Linked DNA regions of Coturnix japonica. The protein of the gene in region 1 purifies or fractionates together with the protein of each later gene. This does not show direct contact. Links are inferred from orthologs where the notes say so. Each region holds a gene or a part of one and is shown on either strand. Other genes may lie near its edges.

The links.
Region 2: the proteins of FYB1 (region 1) and LCP2 purify together in Homo sapiens (co-immunoprecipitation; 6 studies listed by BioGRID and IntAct, with this or other methods). This does not show direct contact. The link is inferred for Coturnix japonica from reciprocal best matches to the Homo sapiens genes FYB1 and LCP2.

What each region holds. Positions count from the first base shown.
Region 1 is NC_029547.1:11,267,796-11,280,416, reverse strand, and holds the start of FYB1 (FYN-binding protein 1), read left to right. Parts: upstream 1-6,999; 5' UTR 7,000-7,160; intron 7,161-12,447; coding exon of another isoform or gene 12,448-12,474; coding exon 12,475-12,621. UniProt on the Homo sapiens protein: Acts as an adapter protein of the FYN and LCP2 signaling cascades in T-cells. May play a role in linking T-cell signaling to remodeling of the actin cytoskeleton. Modulates the expression of IL2. Involved in platelet activation.
Region 2 is NC_029528.1:13,160,024-13,172,203, reverse strand, and holds part of LCP2 (lymphocyte cytosolic protein 2), read left to right. Parts: exon of another isoform or gene 1-112; intron 113-3,987; coding exon 3,988-4,053; intron 4,054-4,752; coding exon 4,753-4,784; intron 4,785-5,353; coding exon 5,354-5,388; intron 5,389-6,162; coding exon 6,163-6,370; intron 6,371-6,887; coding exon 6,888-6,988; intron 6,989-7,516; coding exon 7,517-7,574; intron 7,575-7,734; coding exon 7,735-7,818; intron 7,819-8,600; coding exon 8,601-8,626; intron 8,627-8,709; coding exon 8,710-8,729; intron 8,730-8,840; coding exon 8,841-8,945; intron 8,946-9,699; coding exon 9,700-9,730; intron 9,731-10,107; coding exon 10,108-10,120; intron 10,121-10,644; coding exon 10,645-10,765; intron 10,766-11,068; coding exon 11,069-11,118; intron 11,119-11,653; coding exon 11,654-11,757; intron 11,758-12,180. UniProt on the Homo sapiens protein: Adapter protein primarily involved in signaling pathways within T-cells, as well as other immune cells such as platelets, mast cells, and natural killer (NK) cells.

The DNA.
Region 1 (12,621 bases):
CTGGGGCATTTTAGGAACTGTAGTTCTTCTTTTGCAACAGTCCGAGTTCCATCACGATATCATGATACCTCTGGAAAACCATGATACTGTATCCTGTTTCTCTAATGACTACATTTCACTATGCTTCAACCTTGATCCTGTACTTTCAGCCATCACTCAGTCTCCCTGCACTAACTGAGCTCAAAGAACAGGCTGAAAAACAGATATCTGGAAGTCTGACTGCAGAGTCTGTAAAGTTACAGCTAGTCAGCTGATGAGTAACAGCTACATGTTTGAAGGCACTGTTCAGCCATGTAATAAGCTCACTAATAATTACTTGTATGGAGGCACATTGTTCTGAAGTTTAGATGTGGAAGAGGTAGCTTCTGCTCAGAAACAACTAGAGGCAAAGCTGAGACACTGCTGTGTCTCTTTTCAAAGTAGATGATGTAGTGCCAGTAGTATACATCTGTTTTTACCAATAGCTTTGTATGTGTTCATATAGTTTATAAAGTTGAGAGCAGAGAGTCTTTAAAGTCATTAAGTGCTACTGAAGGACAAAATCCATAGAATCATAGAATCATGAAGTCACCAAGTTTTGAAAAGACGTCCAAGACCATCTAGTCTAACCATCCACCTACCACAAACATTTTCCTTCTAAAAGTACTTCGCACTTTTCCATTTCTGACATTCACAAGTCAGCTGGAGATATTAACATCAGCATTATTTTTGAAGAAGCTTCTCCATGCAAAGAAGAAGAAATTGAAAGTGTTTCCTAAGAGACAGACAAAAATATCTGAAGCTCAGTCTGCAGTGCTTAGTTGTAAAATTAGTTCCTGCTAAAATTAGTTCCTGCATTTCTCAACCACTGAGAAGTCTGTTATTAAAAGATTAAGGATGACACTGAAAATTTTGTAAATTCTCAAAAGAAGAGATATTATTGATATCAGAGATGGTGTTACTGGTATGTCCCTCAAGTGTACGTGCTGTTCAGTGATCTCTACAGTGTAGTTCTTGTTGGAATTCTTGTTTCTTTGGGTTATTCCTGCCATTTAAGCAGAAGTAAATGAGCTTGAAATTGGAAGTAATTGGGTTTTTTTTCCTTCCATATCCAGGTCAACAGTGAATCAATAAGATTTTAATCTATTTCTTCAAACCTGTTGATGATACACCATAAATAAATAAATAAATAAATGGATAGATAGATAGATAGATAGATAGATAGATAGATAGATAGATAGATAGATAGATAGATAGATAGATAGACAGACAGATTACTTTTTAGCCACATGACTGCCGTGGAAAGGTGATTTGACAAAACAGCCCAAGGTTTCATTGCAACATAAATAACTTTCCTATTATATAATTCAGGTTAAACTGCAAAGCACCAAGTTTTTTAACTTGTCCTTTCTCCCATCATGTTTTAGAATACAACAATTGTAACATAGCATACAGTAAAAGGTTAAAATCCTAGACTGTGAGAAGAGACTCTGAAATTGCTAATGGTTGCAGTTGGTGTAGAGTTTTGCACCTGGGAAGGAATAACTGCAAGTATCAGTACGGGCTGGGACATGAACTGCTAGAGAGAAGCTCTGTAGAGAAGGACCTGGGTGTCCTGGTAGACAACAGCTTGGCAATGTTTTCAAATTCAGCCATACATGTTACAGGTACTTACTTGAGAGCACCTGAAGTGTGAATTAACATCAGTTGCATATCATTAAAATATATATATATATATATTTTTTTTTTTGTCTTGACTTTGTCAGGGATTACTTGACTTTCCAAAATTGACTGTGAATACTGTTTTTATTTTTTTGTTAAATAAAAAGTTGTTAGTGACCGGTTATTTCCTTCAAAAATTTAAGGGAGAGATTTTGAAGAGTAAAGGCCCCTTGCTACCATCTGTGAAAAGCTCATGGCAAATGAGCTAGGTAATACCTGAACGGTCACAGATATCTGCTGCAAGTCTTCTGCTCAGAAGGGCAAAGAGTGAGAGCAGGACCATGCTTGGAGCTGGGATGTTTTTTAGGAAACATGGGATTCTGTTTTGCTTCTCCAAACTAAAATCAGATGAGCTGGCATGTGCTTAACACATGAAAAGCGTGAGAAATTTGCACGTAAAGGCTTGGGAAGCCAAGAGACATCCCCCTCTCCCCTCCCTTCTGTTCTGTGCAAACAGAATAGAGTTTGCACAACTGTTGGTGAGTTATTTGCATGTTCTTGAACATTTTTTTCCTTCTCAGGCAGAGGTGGAGAAGGACATGTTGAGGAAAAAGGGAAGTTAGGGGTGTTCTGCTAAGGATGTCTGTTCCTCTTGCTTTTCCACTTCTTCTTCCTGCTGGTAACAGCAGCTGGGGGCATGCTGAGGGGAAAGCCAGGCCAAATAGTTCCCCACCAAACCATTTATACTGGGGTATATGTGGGAGGTAATTGAATAACTTCTGTGTGAAAGCTGCTTCCTCCCTCATGTCCCAGCATATCTGCTAGGGGGGAATTCAGACCAGCAGACAATCACCCACTTGACCATGTATATTCCTCACTTCCCACCAAATACACCCTTCACCCAATTCAGAATTCCTCTCTTTTCCTGCTTCTAGGACACAGTAATTACTAAAGCTGTCCATCCTGAGGCCCTAGGACTGTATGCTGGTCCCAGCCAGCTATAGGGCATTCTCTGGCACTCTGAGTCTGGGCAGGGATAATGCAAAGAGGTAGAACCAAGGTGGGGCAGGGCAGGGAAAAGACAGGCTCTGCTGAGGTGCATGGTGAGGTGGGGGGTGGGGGGAAAGTGAGGGAGCACAACTTTGTGAAGAGACAAATGGCTGCCCACCCTTCCCAGCTGTCCTCTCCCCATATAAAATGCCCTGCCCAATTCACTGTGGCTGTGCCATGCTCCTCCACCCTCCTTCTTATCCCATTTTCTTTAGCCTTCTCCTCGCCTACTGATTCTAGCAGCTTCCTGCCTTGCATGCTTTACCGAGATGGCCCCCAGGCCTGTGGACAGGATATCTAAACTTTCTCCTTCCCATGAGCCCCGAGCTCACCACTGAAAAAGCAGCACTTAGCTTCATGCATATCACCTGCTATTTAGCTCATCAAACTATCTAATCAAGCTTCCAACTGTGCCCCTCAGCAAGGCATGAACTGTGGTGTGTGGGAAGTTAGGGGCAGTGAGGTGCATCTGAGCACATCAGGGTTGCTGTACATCACAGTAGGCTCTGAACTATCAGGAGAGTTTTTCTGGTGCCTGTGGATAGTTTAGAGAAGGCCCAGCATTCCCACGTCGTCCATCTAGAGAGAGGTTCTGCATCTAAACACAGATTTTGCCTTCAAGGAAAAGTTTCCTACGGTCTGAGCCAACAGGTCTCAGGTCAAGCTATAAAAAAGAAGTACTTCTATCTTTTCAAATGTAAGAGGGTTTTTTGTTTGTTTGCTTGTGCTTGTTTGTTTGTTTGTTTGTTTGTTTTTGTACTGCAGGGGCTTTACATCAGCTTTTGATGTTCAATGGAAGACCTATGCTCTGGAAGAAGTGGTTTAGTGCAGTGCTTACAGCCAAGCTGATCCACGAGGCTTGCACATGACTATGATACTCTGGGCTTTCCTCTGTGGCAGAAACATTTTCTTTATGAAGTTTAACTGGCACTGTCATCATCTTTTGCCTTCTTTCTTCAGTTTTCAAAATCTGCCTTCCATTAGTATAAAAAGATCTTGAGATGGTAATAATATTCAACACTTACAGGATTACAAGGATTTAATTATGGCAGTCTGAAAGAACAACAGCATCAACTTGATGCACTTTCAGAGAATCTTGCCTGTCAGCTGTCCACAAATAGTATCTGGGAAGTCCAGCTGTTGCTGTATGGGTGACAGTGCATTTAGACATGAGACAATGCCGTTAATTCGCTCATGACCACATCAAACTTCTGTCAGAAATACTAAAACCACTTTCAACTATCAGCGTTGTGGAATTGGAATAGCACACATTTCAGGAAGTCTGGCCCCATCTTGCAGATACAAAGATAACACAGACTGCTCTAACAAGAAATGTAGCAATAAAAACAGAAGCTCCTGCCAGTGTTCATGAATATCAAATTTCTACTGAAAATCAGGTACTTCCCAAAATGACTCTGTAACTGGATCATAGCCGTGGTTACCTGTCATGAGCAGCAGTTGTATGGCACTTGCTCTCAGCACTTACTCCCACGGTTGGCACAACAGGTCTAAGCAGGCATATTAACTCATTGTCTTGTCTTTAGACTGTGGTAGAATTGCTGAAATGTTATCTCCCAGGAGTGGCATGTAACTAGATATACTAACCCTGTGAAAACCGGAGCGTGCAACAGATTTTCAGTAGGAAATATACATAACCTCTTCTGCTGAGCCTGGTCTGCCACTAGGTGGCAAAAGACCTATGGGAGTTATGAGGAGACTGGAAGACGGGCTTCTGAGAGAAACTGAGTTGTCTTTCTCAAGCACTCCGCATATCTGCATGCATTTTACAATATGGGTGGAACAACTACCTTCTGACCCAAGAAGAGGACTGTCAAGCTTGCTTTATTGATATTAGTACACTTGTCTGTAGGGGTTTTCCCATGAACATTTATTAGACATGGTATAAGGATTATCTGGTCCAAAAAAAAAAAAAAAAATCATTTCTGTATTGTTCATCTCCCAGTCTCCCTCACAATCAATTCTGTTATGCCATCATACCTGTTTTGGAATCACATTGATCACTAAGATCAATGAAATGAAGCATGCTAAAACAACTTGGAAAGCAAAAATGTTGTGGTTTTGTTGTTGTTGTTGTTGTTTAGTTTTTTTCTTAATATAATTTCACCTCTCCAGTTCACAGCACATCAAGATACCAACACATCCATGTCTGTGACAAGATCATGACTGTGGCATTGTTTGTGAGCACTGACCTGAAAGCCTAAAGCTGTTCAGACAGTTGTGACTGACTACCATTCCAGAGTGAAGGACAACACCAATGTATGAAAGTTACCTTAAAGAAAAAAATAGCATCTTAAAGCAGGGCAAGTCAGAGGCACCTTTTCCCCCTTTCATCTTTTGTCTACTTATGATAAATTAAATTATTAAGCAGCCACTTTTCCCAAATATATGTGGAAACCAAAATTTGAGTAAATGCTCTATTAACAAAAAGCACACTTTATTATCACACTGCAGTGATAAATTTTGCTCCTGAAATTTTAGAAAGCCATTATTATGCTGGGCCTCAGATGCCAGTTTTGGTCTACAAAAATTCTGTAATGGCATGCTTCTGTACAAGAAAGTGCTATCTTTGTTTGATATGTTTGTGGTGCTTAAATCTGTGAGGCTGTTATTGCTGCTTCTGCTTCTGGTTTTGCAGAAAGTAGAAGGAAAGTATAAAACAGATCCAGTGTACTTTCAGGCTTGCAGGTCATGTTCTTTAAAATATTAATTCCTTCAGATATTGTTCAGATAAAAATAGCCAATTCCCCCAAATACTCAGAAATATATTCCCCTCTCCATGGAAAAAAAAAGGGGGGATCCTGGAAGCTGTTGCACCTGCAAGTAGAAAATAATCATACACATTGTAGATGAGCAATGGTCACAGCGGTTTTGCAACCTAATCTGTGATTTTCAGTGTTTTTGTTGCAATTCATTTTCTTGGCAGCATTCTATCAATTTGGAATGTCTTTACAACAGTGCAGTGGATGAAAGAGAAAACAGGAACTGTCTAGCGCTCAGAGCTGCGAACAGGAGCTCATTCTTTGATCACTGCCTGATACCGTGAGCCATGCCTTGCAGTAGTGTTTACCAGTGTGAAAAGACTACCTTGTTGCATATAGAACCATAAAACAGTTGTGCAGACTACCAAATAGAATACCAAGGTACAAAGTCCAATCTGCTTTAATGTTAAGGATAAAAGCTTCATCATTTGCGATGAATATGTATTTTCACAAATAAATTTGATTTTATTAACCAAATACAGGCCATAGCAGAATAAATATTGCTCAGAACTGCATTTGTCTTGCTAAAAAAAAAATACAACAGTGATGGAATTAAAAAAAAAAAATTGTTTTCATTGGCAAGTGACAAATAGAGATAAAGTAGTAGTATTTTTATCTCAGATAAGATTCATTCAACATTCCAATAGGCTTCTGAACTAGCTAAAATTAAAATGTTTGTAAAACCAATACAGAAATGTCAAGCACCTCCAGTGCTTTAAATAGACATTAAAAAAAATTAAAGAATGAGGAAGAACCAAACAACAACTAGTGAAGCTCAAAGACAAATTTTTTCAACAGCAAGCTCATTACAACGCAGAGCTGCAGAAACTTCACTGAGCTGTGCTCAGCAGAAGGTTCTGCCCCTATGGTTTAAATTTATCTTCAGCACAAGCACAGGTTTGGAGTTTCCCATAAAGCTCATTTTCTCAGTATCAACTTTCTTATCCTATATCATACTTTAAAGTCTTTGGTTTGTGCAGTAAACTGAGAGGCAAACAGTAAAAATAAATAAATAAGTAAGTAAACAAACAAATAAATAAATAAAATATGATCATTATTTAAAAACAACAACAGAAACACTGTTAAAGCAAAAGCTTGTGAGAAAGAATGGCCAGCAGAATGTCTTGAGAAACTATTAAAAAAAAATAGTGGGAGCAAAGAAACATGTTAGCTGACATCTTCAGTTGTTGAGTAGGAATGGATGCAGTGGTTCTAGTTGGCAGAAGGTGGTTAGACTTCATGACCCAAAAGGTCCACATGCTTTCTTCAAGTTTTTAATTCCCACAAAAATATTTTCTTAAATATTGTTCTGTAAAATTCAAGCTTATATGTACCATTATAGCTTCATGGGACTGCAGTATGGTGTAAATGAAATGCCGGAGCTCACAGTGCTCTTAGATATCATCTAATGAATATAGCTGGTGGCAGCAGCTGAGCAGTCTGAACATATTTTAGTTCCCTTTTCCTTTGCCACTTCTTGCCTAATATCCTGAGGACAGCAGCTTTTTTCTACTGGTCATGATAATGAAAACCACAAGCAAAGTCTCTCTTAGGCAAACCCTCTCTGAGAAGAACGCCTCTCAGCAAACACAATAGGCTGCTAATGTGACAAACTCCCGTGGACTATCTCATTGAGGGAGCCTGTTTTTCTGCTTATATTAAAATACTGGAGAGCTTTGGGAAGTCCAGGTAAATTGTACTTGTTTGTCTTATAAATAAAAATGCAAAGTTCAAGAAATGTATATATATGTATGTATAAATAGTGCAAGATATTTTACACAACCTTGTATAAGTGGAAATTCTAACTGTAAAATTTTCTTGCAACTAGTTGTTTGGCTGAAAAGTTGCCAAGTTGATGAGACTGTTTTTTTTCTCTCAAAGGTTTGTGTTTTGTTGCCTGAGTTTTTACTAAAAGCAGCCCTACTTTAAGTGACATTTGCATGTAGAAGACCAAGAGAAATTAGAGGTAATTATTTTCTAGATAATGTCATAAATTATCTAGCTACAACTCAGCCTAATCTTTTTGTATTATTTGTGGCTGTTGTTTTGGAGGTATATATTTTTTACATATATCATACTCTGGATTGAGACATCAGTGTAAGTATTTTTTTGTACTGGGTCATGGAAGATATTTTTCTTTCCAGCAGAGCTCCAGAACAGTATTTAATGGCTGAACACTGCACAAAATATCCTTTACAATGATATGGGATTTTGAAATTCTAGAAGTAGTTGTAGGAATTTTTCAGTGGCAAGAACTTGAGGGTTTTTTTTTTGTTTTGTTTTGTTTTGTTTTTTTGAGATTCAGACAAGATACATTAGCTTTAGTAGAAAGATCAGGATGATGCTGTATGCAGAATAGAGTAGAAGAATTACATTGTTCTTATTTTTTTATACAACATTATGGATTTGGTTTTAGGATTGCATGAAAGATGAGAAAACAATACAAGGGAGGGGTAAAAGAGTTTTAGTGGAATACACAGTGGAAAAGATACGGAATACAGTGTGGTCAGGTTGTCTGAGTTTGACAGCCACTTTTGTGTGTATGTGCTACTTTCATCTGCTGACATCAGATATTTCAAAAGATTTTATCAAGAGGATGTAGAGGCTGTTGGTCTTTCTCCGAGGAATCCCATAGATTTCCATCTATCCTTTCCATCATAAAGGTCTGCCTTTCAAGAAAGGCAAAGAGAATAACTGCCACACCTTTGAATATTTCCCATCTGAAATATAGGGCTCGTTACTTTGCAATCATTATATCTATCATTTCTACTATGTGAGCAGATGCTGTCTTTGTTTTTCACGTTTCTACTATTTACATCTGTAAGTACAGAATACTGCAGTATCTTGACTCCGCTTTTCAAATGTTGAACTCATAATCAAAAGAAGCCTTACTTTACTAGTTATTACAACTAGAATTAAGTCAAGTAACTTGGAAATTATTTATCTTTTCTGGAAATTATAATAATAATAATAATAATAATAATAAGTGCTGTACAATGGTAATTTTGAAGTCTCTCTGTCCGGAAAAAGAAATAGTCAAGCAAAATTTATCATTAATTTAGAACAGCACTAGGATTTTATGCAAACAGCTAAACACCCTCAGTCCTTTAACTTCTGTAGAACCTAAATTGGGCTTTTATATTTCCAACTGATTTTCAGGTCTGTATTTATCTTTAATTTTCACTGTCATTTTCTTTACCTTTTTTTCCCCTGTACCTTATACATTATATCTTGTCTGCGGATTAGAGCTCAGTTCCTTCAGTGGTTAGCAGCTTTTGTGATTTTTTCACAATAACAGAGTACATAAGTATGTGCACTTTTATTCTTAAAGTGTTATCTTTGTCAACTTTCTTGTGTTACTTTCTAGAAAACTCATCAATTCATTATTCTGTTTCAATACTAAGAGTTTTTAAAAACCTACTTAAACCATATCATCTGTTAATAGAAATAAAAAGTTAGAGATGAGAAGCAAAAAGAGTTCTTTCCCTTAATAAACCAGATCTAAACAACTTTTGAAGAACTGCACGATTCCTTGTACAGTCTATAGTAACACGCATTTTATTTACTGAACTAAAAATTGTATGCACACATCTGCTGATGCCTTCATTAATCCAGGGTTGCTATTTACTCGAAGAAAAAGAAACCACAAGGGAAAGCTGATGTGAAGTATTCTTTTGGCTCCATCAAGATGGAAATTAAATGATACATATTTACTCCGAAACAAAAGTGCTTATTTTGTCTCATATTGTTTTGTTTTTAATCAGGCTGCCAGTTTTGACTGACATTTACAGAGAAAATTCAGGAAAAAATAGATTTAGAATTTTTACTTCTGTTGTTATTATTCCGTTATTTTGAACAACAACAACAACAAAAAGTATAGTTATATTGTAAATAATGGCAAATTTCACTTTTAATTAAATTTCAGTGTAAACTCTTTGAAGAATTCTGTACAAATGCATCTTCATATCTGTGTGGGTCCTATCTGAAGGAACTGGAAAACGGGAAAGCACATTTATGCTAAACTCCTTGATCTACACATGGGAACCAAAACCAGAGTATTTTTCTAGATATGAGTCAAACACATTTAAATGCTTCCATCTCCTTGCAAAGAAATTCTTACTGTTTACCTTGTGCTGCTTCCAATTCAGTTCAAAAGGTGAAAGATTGGAAATATTCTGTATTAAGTCTCCTTAGAGAATGCAAACAGAAAGTTCCAAATATTACCTAAGTACTTCTTTCATGACACTCCTCTGTCTAACAAGCACATTGCATTTTGGGTAGGAACAATGGGGTAAACTTTGTCCAATTTCACAATCTTTTCAAGTTCCTGTTTCGTTAAGTACAACGCATTGTATGTGCTAAAGGAAAAGGTAACTGCTGCCACTTCTGGGAAGGGAAATGCAGAAACAGCAAAGATCACCAATAAAAGATTATCTTTATTCTTGTTCTCCATCTGTCTAACTGAGAAGCTAAACTGAAGCTTAGAATCCTCGATATGGCTTCTGTTATAAGTTTATTAAATCAGGAGATGATTATATACATTACAGAGAAGCAGAAGGATTTCTTAGTTTCTTACCCTCCTTGGATTCTTAGAGTGCTACCATCACTACTTATCTTCCTGTGAGTGAGACAAGTTATGCTGCTGATTGTAAGCCCCTCTACATCTCCAGGAGCTCATTTTTTATGAGTTTGTAGATCTGTTTGATGAGAACAAGGTTTGAAATCTATTCACAGTACCATAAAGACATTTTTAAAAACAAATCTATTGATGTTGGTAGTCCTTACAGAAAATAAACACTCTTAGCCAGGCAGTAGAGGATTGTTTATTGCCTTTGAAAGCCTGTATGATCAATTATGTAATTGATCTTGTTATTGCCATGATATAGAAAAGTTCTCAGAAACTGCACATCACAACAGGAAAACTTTCTTGAAAGCCATACTTCAAACTTCCAAAAAGTTTATGTGCTGAATATTTTTCATCCCAAACTTTCACATTACTGTGGCTTAGTACAGAATGGTTTCCTTAATTACAAATGGAAGAAACTGCAGAAGAATCAATTTATTCCTATATCTTTCAAAAGAAATAAGCTTCTGTGATGGCCAGGTTATTGATTAGATTGTCAGTTACAAGTTTTGAATACTTAAAACCCTGTATTTCTGATTGTTTAGATTTTGCTACAGAAGTTATAAAAACAAAGAAACAATTTAAAAATAAATTTAAAAAAAATTAAAAATAGCATTAGTCCTGATTCAAGAGAGATCAAAGGTAGAACATTTTGTCATTCTTTCTGGCTTTGAAGTTAGCCTAGTTTTCTCATCATGTGGGTAAAATCAGTGCTTTGTGAGGCTCTATGAGAAAAATCTTATATATATGTACATATACATATATATATGTATCTATGCAGAGTAACTGTGTGTGTGTCTGAGCGTATGTATAGCAACCAACAGTAGATAGCTTAAGCCTGATAATCTCCATGGTAAATGTGTGCTTCCTCCCTTTCCTACAAGAGAAAAATAGATAATTAAGTACTCTGGGGATAGCTTTCATATTGTTTTGGCTGCTTTTCTTTTAGCAGATAGCTAAAAGAAAGACAGTAGCTCTGTAATACAATGCAGTTTGGAAAGACTGAATTTCTTGGTGATACTGAAAGACTGGGAAGGTTAACTTTATGTTGCAGAAGTCACAAGTGAAACTACTCCAACATATCAGGAAATTCAACATGATAAAACCAAAAAGAAGGCAAAAGGAGTAGACAACCACAGTTCAGAAGATCTTGTTAATGAAGTTAAAACATTACTGAATGCTCACTGAAACCGTACTGGCTGAAGGCACAGTTCATTTATTGATCTTACTCTAAAAGGATTTTTCAGACCATTATATACAGGATAGTGATAATCTTTGTTTCCAAACAAAGAATTTAGATCAGTTCCTAGCTATAACATCCCTGCTTCATAACATTAGTTTTACATTTTGACCTTCCTTCATAAAATGGATCTTAATTAGTAAAAGCAGTTCTGACACCACTGTCTGCTGGCAAAGGAGCAGCCCCTGCTGCTGGTGACAGCTGTAACACAAGAGTGGACTCAGGCCATTGTGGTGTGACCACCTTACTTCCCTTTGCTAAGATCTTTCGTTGCACTGTGTAACAGCTGCAATGTATCAAACTGTATTCAGCTTTTATTCACAGTTCATATTGAAGGCTGAAAGTTCTTAAAAAGAGCTGTCCAATTCAAACATTTTCTAATGAAACTGAGTTTTACCCACTTTCAACTGTTCATCTTCTTCCTTTTCTCTTTCTTACAGTATTTTTGCTTACTGATTGTCATTTCTTCCTATTTTGCTCCATATATTTTCACTTTCAGTCTATCCATGTACAGTGTTTATCAGATACAAAATGGAGAACAGAAACAAGGACAAAGCAGGGGAAGGTGGAGGGTAGTAGGGAAGCAACTTGCTCAGAAGGGAAAGAAAATTTGACATACAATCCCCCCAAGACAGAAGACTTTCTGTTTATGCAACTTTCAGTTCTCCAAAGATCTGATGTGAATAACACTATTCTGATGTATTTTTCAGATTCCAGTGTATTCTATGCTTCTAAGCATAGGATACTTGTATCTTCAGGACTACTTTAATTTTGAAATTGTGGATATCTTCATGTAAATATGTACTAGGTGTTTACTTCCTAGTTCCAGAAATAATCAGTAATCACTCTGTGAACAAAAGGAACAGAATGACTACTGTCTGAATGCAGAACCTGTAGTGAAAAATTTAAAAGATTATATAACCACAGCAAGGATACAACAAAGTGCTTAGCATTTCTAACCCTACAGGAAGATGTGCTACAATATCTCCACAGCCAATCAGCAGTACTACAAGCGTCAGACCAGGAAATTCTTTAAAGTACAGTATGTGTGAACATTTCAACTGACACTTTCTCATTGTTTCTTTTTCTTTGTCATTTCTCTATGCCCATAGAATGGAAAGGCAAATGTGAAGTCACTCATGGCGAAGTTTAACGTGGGTAACAACCCCTCAGAGGATGTTTCTGGCAACATTCGACTCTCTAAAGTCACAGGACAACCAACCCATTCAGGATTACAAACAAGGAAAGCAGTATTTGAGAAATTTGCAAGTCAAGGAAATGCAGCT
Region 2 (12,180 bases), on another chromosome or scaffold:
AACAAACAAACAAACAACAGCACAATTAACAAAACAAATTTTCTCTCTTACTTCTCTTAGCACTTGTGGAAATCTGCAGTAACAAAACTGCATCCCTGCAATAAAGCACATAATTACATCTGACAGTTCAAACGTGGTACGTGTACAGAGTTCTGAATGGGACCCATTCAGAACCTGCAGACGTGGCACAGCCTGGAAGTCATGCTGCTTTCTGCAGAGTAAAAGCTGCAGTCTTAAACAGTAAGAAATTTACATAATGTCCTCCTCTTTCAAAAAAGCAGAGGTGAATGACAGCTTCTGCCAGTGTTTCCCACAACATCCTCATAGGTAAGCTTAGCAAGCATGGGACAGATGAGTGCACAACAAGGTGGACTGAAATCCATCTGCCTGACAGAGCTCAAAGGGTTGTAATTAGTAGCACAGTCTAGTTGGAGGCTTGTAACTAGAGGTGCTCTCCAGGACTTGGTACTAGCTCTGGTCTTTAACATGTTCATCAATGATCTGGATGAAGGCATAGAGTCCACACTCAACAAGTTGTTGATGATACGAAACTGGGAGGAGTGGCTGACACACCAGAAGACTGTGCTGCCATTCAGAGAGACCTGGACAGGCTGTAGAGCTAAGTGGGGAAGAACCTTAAGAGGTTCAGTGAGGGCAAATGTCAAGACCTACATCGGGGGAAGAATAACTGCACACATCAGTACAGGTTAGAGGCTGACCTGCTGGAAAGGAGCTCTGCATAGAAGGACATAGGTGTCCTGGTGGACAACAGGTTGAACTCAAGCCAGCAGTGTGCCCTTGTGGCCAAGAAGGTCAGTGGTATCTTGGAGTACATTAAAAGGAGTGTGATCAGCCAGTCAAGGCAGGTTCTCCTCCCACCCTGCTCTGCCCTGGTGAGGCCACATCTGAAGTACTCTATCCAGTTCTGAGCTCCTCAGTTCAAGAAAGACAGAGAACTTGTAGAGAGAGCCCAGCAGAAAGCTACAAAGAAGATTAGGGACTTGGAGCTTCTCTTATAAGGAAAGGCTGAGAAATTTGGGACTGTTCAGCTTGGAGAAGACTGAGAAGGGATCTTATCAATATATGTGAATATTTAAAGGCAAAAGTCAAGAGGATGGGGCCAGGTTTTTGGTTTTTTTTCAGTGCTATCCAGTGTCAGGGCAAGAAGAAATAGGCCCAAACTGGATCCCAGAAAGTTCCATCTGAACATATGGAAAATCCTTAATTTGAGGATGACAGAGCACTGGAACAGGCTGCCCAGAAAGGTTGTGGAGTTTAAAACTTAATTGATACTCAGTCTGTTTAGAAGGCAACATAATAATGTTGCATCTGCCCAACAGACATTATTCAAAGGCCACAACAAAGCCTCCATCACAAACTATGCCCTTGGCAGCATTCAAGCTATGCGACTTTCTGGCCTTAGAGCACTTCATCCTCTTTCTATTTCACCTGTCCTAAGTTCTTCTTCCTAATACACGCAGAAAGGATTCTATTCATTTCAGCAATATCTGTACTAACCAAACAAAAGTCATTTTAGGAGTACTGGTGTTTTTGTAGTTGTGTGGGTTTTTTTAACTTCCTGCCAGTTTTAAGCTAAGTGCCGGGTGAAGGGGGCAGAAAGAGAAAGAGAAGTCTGAGTAACATTTTCTGCAAGAGCTGTTGCCTTATCCTGCCCTATCACACACTCCCACAACTCAGAAAGCAGTGTGGTTTCGGTACTTCCTTCCTCACATAGCTACAGACTCAGCTGCTCTTTGCACGTACCTTCTGTAATGAAGTTGCTTGTAAAGTTACCATTTTAAACCAGGCTTTCTTTTCTAAGCCATTGGTTTGAACCATTTAAAATAAACTCAAATACTACATGCTGGATTTTAAGCAGAAAATGATTAATTTGCTGAGCGAATACAATGAGCAACTTTTCTCTTTCAGTTTTCCCTCAAAACTGGGTGATGCAAATTGTCACAACAGCCAGCCAATGTTCAGTCCATAAAGCCTGCAGACACTCAGGTCATATTCACACCCGTGGGACTCTAAACTGAAACAACTATTAACTTTAAAGCCCGTGGCCTTTTCTTTACTTCTTTAGCAGAAACTGAGCTCAATATTTTGAAAGACACTTCCTCAGCCTCTCCTATGATGCTGAACCAGCCAAACACAAGTTTTGTAATCCACTTCTCTACAAAAGCACGTGTCTAAGCAGGGCACAGTTCTCACCAGAACATTTCCTGATGTTTCACTGGAGTCTTACTATTCACACAGCAACTTACTGATCACCAGCAGCACTAGATTTATTGTGCATGCAAGCATCGAATCCACAGGAAAAAAGAGAAGCTTGTAATTCAGGTATTTTCTTCCCTCGTAGAGTTTGCTTGGGTGACAACACCAGATTGAGATAGTGATAATTCTGTAACCATTCTTAAGTTGTTAACATTTGTGCATGTATTTATTTCAAAAGGGGCAAGTATGACATTTGCTTCAACTTGGAAATTTGCAAAAAAGTCCTAAAAAAGAATCCCCCCAGAACATTCTTCCTCTATTTTCATAGTCTTCCTTGAGTCCACATCTCTAACTTAAAATCACCCATTTTATCACTTTTAGATATTTGTTATGAAATTACTTGTTATCTGATACTTGCTGGTACATACTGGGGAACAGCAGGCATTTACTTGGCTCAGGATTACAAAAATAGCAGTTTTTTATTGGCTTTTTGTTAAATGCTAGAGCACTTGAAAGCTTGCCTTACTCAGGTTCAGCCCAGAAAAGCAGTTATACATGAAAGAGATGCCCAAATTAGATAATTAGGGGATCAGTGTTGGTAAGTAGCAGAAAAAGATACAAAACAGGAAGGAAAACAAGATACTGGTAACAGAATGGCAATTCCTGGACACATACAATGATTTTAGAATACTGTTAGAAAGTTTATTGCCAGATCTAAGATCTATGGCAAATAAATCTACTCTTACAAACAGGAAAAATAAGCTTTTACAGAATTTAGAATCTGACATAAGCAGACCCATTTGGTTCCTGATTTTTCTCCATAATACTTTTACTTCCACATTCTGCTAGACTTGTCTAATATCAGCAAGTCAATTGGGGTATTTTCAACCATATGTGTGTAACCCATTTGCTTTGGCTGCCGCAGGACTTTCTGAGTGGACTTCCTATTAAAAGAAATGAGATGTAAGAATCAGAGTATGACTCAGAACATGTTTTCTTTGAAACAAAAGCTTTCTTTGAAATAACATCATTGTCGAGGTATGGATGCCAGCAATAAGTGCAGCTTAACTGCACGCTCCTGGCCTAAAGATCTTTGAGGACTGTATTTCACTGGTTGTTATTCACCCTTAACACAGTACATAAACTACGCATGACTGATGACAAACACATCAAAATCTCTCTAGACATAAAGATCTACTCTTCTTACGTTTCATTTGTAGCTCTGCCCTGCATAAATGTTATGACATGGAACTGATGGGATGGACACCTAATTGTGCATATAGTGACTGTGGAGGAAGGGGGACAAAAAGAAAAGTTGCCACAAGATGCACTTAATTTCAACTCTGTGACCATAGGCTTAAAAGAGGCTGACTCCTGAAATAGCATCCGCTTTTCTCATGCAAAGTAATACAAATGTAAGATGATTATTTAAAGCACTGCTCTAGTGCCTGACGTCTACCACACCCCAAATTTCTAAGGCTTGCTGAGCTTAACATTGATATTGAAATTTGATCCAAAAATACAGGTTCTTCTCCATGTGAAGAAGTCCAACATCCAGCTGCATAGTTACAAGCCATTCCTTTTTCTTTATGCTACAGTGTAGCTTTGCAGTAAGAAGAGAAATTAAGTATTCTTACCACATAGTAAACGATAAATCCAAATCATAACATTTCATTTAATGGTGGTAAAATGGGAGGAAAGCAGCTAAGAAAGTGACTGCCAGGTTTCAAGGAGTATTTTTAAAACTACTTCTGTGGTTCTTTTAAACAGCATTCTGAGTAAACTAAGTCAAGATATAAACCGAAATGAAGGAAGGATCTCTTTCTTCTCAAAATGGTAAGTGAAAAACTCTGATTTCTTTTCAAAAGTTATCAGTCAAATCTTTCCTGGACTGTTATTGGTTTGATCCACAACACCTGTGTGTCAGAGGGATCACCTGCGAAGTATATAAAATAAAACTGTGTTGTTAATGCTGTCTGTTAAAAATAGGAGTGTTTGAGCTCATGAACAACCTGGATCCCTCTGTCATGTCTGAAACCAATAAAGATACAAATTTCATGCAATTTTCTAACTGAGTAAATTACTCTTTCAGAATGCTATAAAATATGGACACATTATATTAATGAGTCAAAATTAATGGAATTTACAGACCTGTACATCATTACACTTCAAAATGCATCACAATTTACTGACAAATATATTATATGTTAAGTTCTATTCCAAGGACTGATGTTCCCGATAGATTTACTCACTGAGTTTCACTTAGTTTCATACACACCACCTCACTGACTTGGCCTTGTATTCAGGACAGTTGAGCTGACATTTGGTGACTGTATGTGAAATATAAAGTAGTGTGTTTATGGTATTTTGTGTGAAGTTGAACTAATTAAAACAAATTTCATTTTACTTTACAATCTAAACGTTAGCTTTGTTAGCAATTCAGTGTACTAGGTTTAGTGCATTACATTTTAGTGCACATAAAACGTTTAAAAATTGCAATTGGAAGGAATTTATTTGTTTATATCTTTGTTACAGGGGCCAAACACAAAAGTGTCCTGAAAACTCAGGTAAGTGCGTACTGACAGTCTCTAAGCACAAATAGTGTGTAAAAACATTAAACCAGTAGGTTCTTCTTTGTAGAGTACGATAAGCGAGACAAGGCAAAGCAAAAAAAAGCATAAAAGAAAAATTGAAGAAATAGCAAAAAGTTGCACACTTCAGCAACAATTGTACTAATGAGAGAATGCTCCCCCAGGTCTACTGACATTAAAATGACTTTAGATTTAATTGCCATAGCAATTTTTAAGAGATACAAAGGCTGTGCTTATTCTGAGAGCATTCTACTTCAAATGATTTTTAAAGCATGAAGAACAGGACAAACTAGATGAGACACTGTATAATCTCACATAAGGAAAGTTTTACTCTTAGTTTCAAACAATAATGTTATTTGTAGAACCTTGCATGAGCTACTTGCGGATGCCAGTCTGCCTGCCTTTGACAGGCCTACATTGTTGCTGCTATAGTAGGAACTGTGGCATTGTGGTTCAGAATGAATTTGGGATGGTTTTTTGTCCTTTTATTTCAAATAATGTCTTGACATTTTCAAATTTTACTGTGCTTAAACTTCTTTATGCAGGATACGGTCAAGAAGATGATGGCTGGTCTTCATTTGTAAGTATGAGGACTAACATAACATACTGGTCCAACAGTAGACTGACTCAACTTTTCTGTAATCTCTATTATTTCTTGCATTACCTACTTTAGACAGTATGGATGGATCAGTCAGTAGCACGGGGTGTTAGGCTAAGGAAAAAGAGAAGCCTGAATGATTGGAGTAGCTGCATGCAAATTTCACTGAGGAATGGGCTTTTGCCCAGTAATACGAGGCAGTGCTTTGCAACAGCAGATTTGTACCACTGATTCAAGTACAAGCTCACAAATTATGACTAGCTAAAGTTTATATTCCTATTTCAAGCTCTTGAAAGCAATCGTTAGAAAATGGAAGGTTACTGTGTTATTCAAGGGCAAAATCCTGCTATTTTGTTCTCTATAAAGTTTACTTTTTGAAAAATCCAATCAATTTCTCAAAGCCAGACAGACTGCAAAGGATGCTTTCTGTCTTTCAGCATACTAAATGCACTGGTAAACTTCATTAGACGAAGCAAACAACCCCAATGTCTAAGAATACTTCTTCTGTAAGTCAAGGCAGACAGCACAGAAGATGTGTGCAATGACCGCTACCATGCTTACACTGCAATCTTGTTAGGGCCCAATAAGATACTAGTGGTATATGTCTGGTTTTGTTCTGGTCAGAGTATCCAGACCTGTATCACAAACCTCTTTTATTTTTTTTTTCAGAATTGTTTCTAAAGTCCGAATTCAGTCTGTAGAATACTGCAAAAAAGTAACCTGTTATAGCACTCATCTTTTATATATGTTGGTCAGGATGATCAGGATGAAGATGACGACTATGAAAGCCCTGATGATGACCAGGAAAAGGAAGACGAGGCTGACTATGAATCACCAACGGAAGAAACTGAGGAAGCAGAACATGACAGTGATGGCTATGAGCCACCTCCATCCAGTAATGATGAAGCACACCACAATGTCATATTTCCTGCCAAGTCACTTGCGAACAGCACAGACTATATAGGTAATTACTAGAAAAAAATAAAAAAAGTAATGTTTTCACATTATCATTTACATTTACGTGGCTGCTAACGGGATATAGAAGGCTTTATCTCAAAGCAGCACAGATGCTGCAAGTTCATATCTTTATACCTTTTAAAGCTAAATCTTCTACTTCAGACAAGCTCTGTTGGATTAAAGATAAGTTTCATGTGATGTGTGCACAATCTGGCTCTTGGTTTGGAGCCTGCATAAAGTTTAAGAAAAATTTACATACTATTTTAGCTTTAGCAGTTGTTCCTTGATCAGAATGAGTTACCAGGCAGGTACAGTCCCACCATCAAGGGGACAGATGAGCATCTAGCTCCCAAAGGAACACTAAATCATACACTATCATAAAGCAACAGCCCATTAAACACTAACATAATATCTGTATGATACATCAGATCAAGTATGCAACATCTCTTCATAAAGATCTAATGAGAATAAAATAACAAAACCGTTTTCATAGTTGTTGAGCTTGGGATTTTTCTTTTCTTTAGACAGGCCTCCAACAGCCAGATCATCACATCAGCCTCCACTACCACCCCAGCGGCCTGGCCCAAGCCCATCACCAGCCTCATTTGGGGGAAGAGGTGCTTCTGTATGTTTCTCTCTTGATATTTCAGAGCAAATGAAATACTTCACCTATTTACTTTGACAGTACCTAGGAGGAATCCAAGTGTAATAAATAAATTGTTATTCAATTATTATGTGTAGAGGAATAAGAAAGTTTTTAAGGTGTCAAAATAGTTGAACTCTTATAGAGTGTGGGTTTTTTTCCATGGAACAATACAATTTGATGGGTCAGATATTAAACTCTTTCACAGTCTTTGTTTCTTATAAGTTCTCATTAGTTGTGTCCTAGATTGCTGCACTATTTGTTGACCCAGCTCTCACAATAAGAACAGTCCTTCAGAACATCCCTATAAAATATTCCCTATGAGACAGATGGTTCTATATGAGACAAAGAACCACACGTCGGTCATTCTTCAGGAGGGTTAATGACTCCTACCCATCTTATAGTGGGAAGAGACCAATTCTTTGTGCTTAACAAGACTGTCAGATATGATGATGTGTACATTAAAATAGAAAGGACAGATTTTAACCATGTGTAAAATGTTTGTTTTAGCTGCCAGCCTTCCCTCCTCTGCCAAGCAACAATGACAGAAGTGTTAAGCCTTTGAAACGTAAGTCCAGCTGTTGTTTTCTTTGTCAATGGGCTACATAGCACTGCCTGTAACTCCTCAGCTTCATTTTCTAATACTTTTTTAAACAGTTAATAGCTTTGCAAAATAAAGTTATGTCGACCTGTACCAGCGCAATGTCTTACACAGTTTTTGTGTTTAGCCCCAGCTCCTTCTATAGACAGAAGCACAAAACCCTCACTGGATCGCCTTGCTCCACCATTTGAAAGAGAAAGCCCACTACCAGGTCAGTATTTGCTTATCAATAGCTTGAATGTTAGTACAAATAGCAATAATCAAAATTGTCAGGTCTAATAGAATTCATGCAAAAGATCAAGGCTCAACTAAATGTACATAACTGAATTAAAGTACAAGGTGATCTGTTTTGGAATAAATAACGTGAGAAATACTTACGTAGCAGATCAGGGCTGGTTGATCAGAAAGACATTATGAGATTACAGCACAACGATGGAATAAAATAAGCTAAGTGAATGATCATAGGAAAACTTAGCAGGTTAAAAGAGGGAACAGCTTTGCATACAAGGATAATAAAAATCTCTATGTAGTTCATTACCAGACTGAAAAGAAATGCTGAGAACTTAAACACAGAAAGGAAGGAAGAAGGGCATTTGTTACAGACTTTAATACTGTACTTTACAAAGAAAGAAACAGACTACTTCATGGTTTCTATTCCTTATCTACTTGGTACACATCAGTATGGAAGCATTCTGGAATTCAAAGCTGAATCATGGAAAATATTTTTGTAAAATATGCCATTTTGAAAATCAAAACTTTTTCCTTTTATAAAAGATCACAGAATCAGAATCACAGAATTATCAAGGTATCAAGATACTGCAATTCTTCCAGTGCTTATAAAATCAAAATCTTTGTCTGGCTTCTATGTCAGGAGTCCTCATGCTTCAATTTGCCAAATATTGCCATTGATAATATTCAAAACTTCTTTCTCATAGAAAGTTTAATTATCTGCAGTTATGTTTTTTTCTAAACATAACCTTTTATTATTTTCAGGGAGGAAGCCAAGCCATCCTGAGAAGGTGAGATCTTTTAGTTTGGTCCTTACATGCTTTTAACCTGTTTTGATATCCTTAGCTCTTAACTATTCCTTGTTGTTTCGCAGCTTCTAACTCCACAGCTAAGGTAAGAAGTTTTGTTTTGCCTTTTGACATGAGACTCTTGATGCCAATATTAATCAGTTTTTTCACATTAATAAATTTTTGCCTTTATTTCATCATCTTGCTCCTGCTTTAGAGCCCTGGGAGAACAACTAGCAATGATGCCAAAACCTCCTGTACCACCAAGTGATAGATACGAAAGAGGAAATCCATCTCCTCTAAGGAAGCAAATCCCTGCAAAGTAAGAGTTCATTTACTTAATTAAATAATAATGAAAATATAAATGAAATTAAACACAAATGTGGATAAGTAATGTAGGATGGTATAATTAAATGCTACTGCATTCCAGTACTGTCTACACACATCAAAGTTTTGTTTTAACAAGAATTAAGTTATATATTAACATTTCATAAATGTGCTGTTTGCTGCAGAAAAGAGAATGCAATAAGAGCTGCCTGTCAAGTCCTAGCTCAAGTAGCCATCACACATCAGGGCTCCCCTCCTACCAGCATAAAGAAACATAGGATCCATATTTTAACCACCAGATCAAGGTCTTGCTCTAAGAAACATTGTTTTGTGAATCCCAAAGATATTTTGTGTGGAGTATTAGGAAGAAAAAAGGCTTGCTCTCCTATTATGAGCCTGCAAAACCCAGAGCAAATAGCATCCTATAGCAAAATATTGATAATTGTCTAGATAACATAGACTGAATAGCGTGATCGATTTTGAAACAAAATAAAGAAGTAATTGAGATCTGCTAAACAGTTAAGAATATCTGTCAAATAAATGAAGGCTTGAAGGTTCATCTTGTGTTCCAGCCATCACAGAATCACTGAATCATAGAATGGCATGGGTCCCAATGTTGTGGAGTTCTATGGGACAATATAATTTACTAGAAGTTTGTGTATTAATTGAAAATATAGCCCAATGCACATCAAGTGAATGGGGAATATTCCATCTTCGATTCATATTTTGTCTTCTCTGTTTCATTTCAGGCAGGGCTGGGCACAACAGAAAAGACCTGAAGTAAGTATAGTCCCAAAGCAAGTGTGTAAAGATATAGGAACTACAATAAAATAAAGTACCTGTAAAACTAATAGTTCTGGGAAAAGTAAACATTTCTGTTTGATGGATCTTTCACAGTGCTTTGTTTCTGGAATGAGGAAAGTTCACAATACACTGGGTCAACATCTTGTATGGTATTTGTACTTCACTGCTTATTTGTAAATAATAGCTGCACCTCAACAAAAGAACTTTAAAAGTTATTTGGTGTTGTATGAAGACAAACTCCAGCATTTTAGATAGCCTAGATAACGTAATCAAAATTTATCAACTTCCAGCTCTTTGCTTTGTAAAACAGCATGCTATGAGTTGCTAACATTTGTTTTCTCTTGGTTCCTCAGGAAGAAGACAACCGTAAGTATTTCTTCTCTAACTTTAAAGTTTCTAGAGCTCTTTCTTTTGAGCAATTTCAGAAGCATAACTTGCTTCATGTAATAAGCATTCCATATAAGTAGTAATTTCTTTGTAAGTTCCTATTACTCAGTTTGTAAAGCGACTTCATAACAGAAGCAGAACATTTGGCCAAATCTTTATAACTTACCCTTGTCTCTAAGACTCCATCAAGAACAGGGCCATAGGACCTACAGTTGAGGCCTAAGGATGCTGCAAGAAAAATATCATTTCAGTAGTGTCCAAAATGTAACTTACATAATGTAAATGTTCCAGTCTGCTCTATTTTATTTTTAATCTAATTTTACTCTCAGTTTCCTTAATATTGAGCCCTTAGTTGACCATACGAGATTACAGTCCATAGCTAAAATATCAAGGACTTTGAAATAAAAATCTCTATTAAGTTTATCTAACTAAACAGCAGAAACGTGATGGGATTTCTTCATTCTAACTAAGGCAACTTTTACATTTTCTTCTCTTCTCTACAGATATACCCCAAAGAGCAGTGCCACAGATATCTTTGCCCCCACACAGCTCCAATACATTCCCATCAAAATCTATCAAGCCCCTGCCTAAGCCAGGATCCAACAGTATGCCTGGTGCTGAAAGGTTTGTTTCACCTATTGCCATCTCATTCCTTTTGAATTCTAATGTTTGTTTTTTTATATGTATATAATATGCATATATATAAACACCCAGATACTGAGCTCCAATTTATTGGTGGATCTACTTACATCAAAGAAAATAATAAAAAACAAAGAGAAGGCTGTTCTCAATCCTTCATAGGACTCAGGGAGATGCCATGTTCTGTAAAACAAGCTTACAGTCCAGATCAGTATTTAAAAGCATAGTAATGTTGCACAGCAATGACACAATATACTGAGTAGTTTATTTTGTTTTGTTTTAACACAGTGCTAGAAGCCTGTCTGCAAGTGGCTCACTACCACCTCGCTTTCCCCTGGGTTTGTATCCTATACTTGTGGATTTTATGCACAAACAGTGGCTCAAGGCTGCAGGGCAGTTTCAGTACATTATTCTGAATCTAAGAAGATTTTCTTCTACACAAAGTTTGGGCTTATAGACTTTTTAAACCACTGCCAAAATTCATACAAATATTTTTCTCCAATAACAACACTGAAAGCTGAGCAACACTACCTACAAATCACTGTGGCATGTGAATAGCCTCGACAAAGGAAGAAAACACTTTTCCATGTGAAATATGCTGCATCTATTAATATTAATTCCACTTTTAGAGAAATTGGAGATACCTTCAACTGATAAAAATTACCTGTGCATTAAGAGTGAATTTATGCAGTGAATGTGGTTTTTATACATTAGTCTAAATCTGATTTCAAATCAATTTGAAACATATCATCAGAGTGATACAAATTCATCATGCCTTGCAAAGTCAAGATTCACCACCATATACCCGTATGCACTCCCCAGATGAAATTATTTCCTGATATTGTTTTCTATTCTTACTCTGAAATCTTAAAGGCAACAACAGCAGATCTCCTTCAAGAGGCACAGCTGATTTGAGACCTCCATTGCCCATTCCTAGCAGGCAGACTGCTCACCAGACAAACACAGATGAAGATGAGGTACAAAAACATCACAAGCGTTAACTGTAATAACTAAACACAGCAAATATGCTCATTTTGAGAGAACTGTTTTCAAAGCTTTTCTTTTTCTGTGTAGCAGACATTGTCAGGATGGTAGTTGCTACTTTCAGTTTCCTTTTCTGCATTAAGATTTAGTGACTTATTTTGTCTACACTGAGGAAAAAAAAAAAAGAAAGAAAACAGAAAAAACAGCAGCAAAAAAAACTTGTAGAACAAAGTGTGAGAATGACCTGCCCGCTGGATAACTTGTTTTGCACAATTGCTTTAAATTAGTACTACATATTAATTACTTTCCACAAAACCACAATGAGAATTCATACCCATTAGGCGCATTTTGTTTCACACAGCTTTAAATATGCCAAGGTTAGAGAAAACCATGAGAACGTGTATAGTTATAGTGTA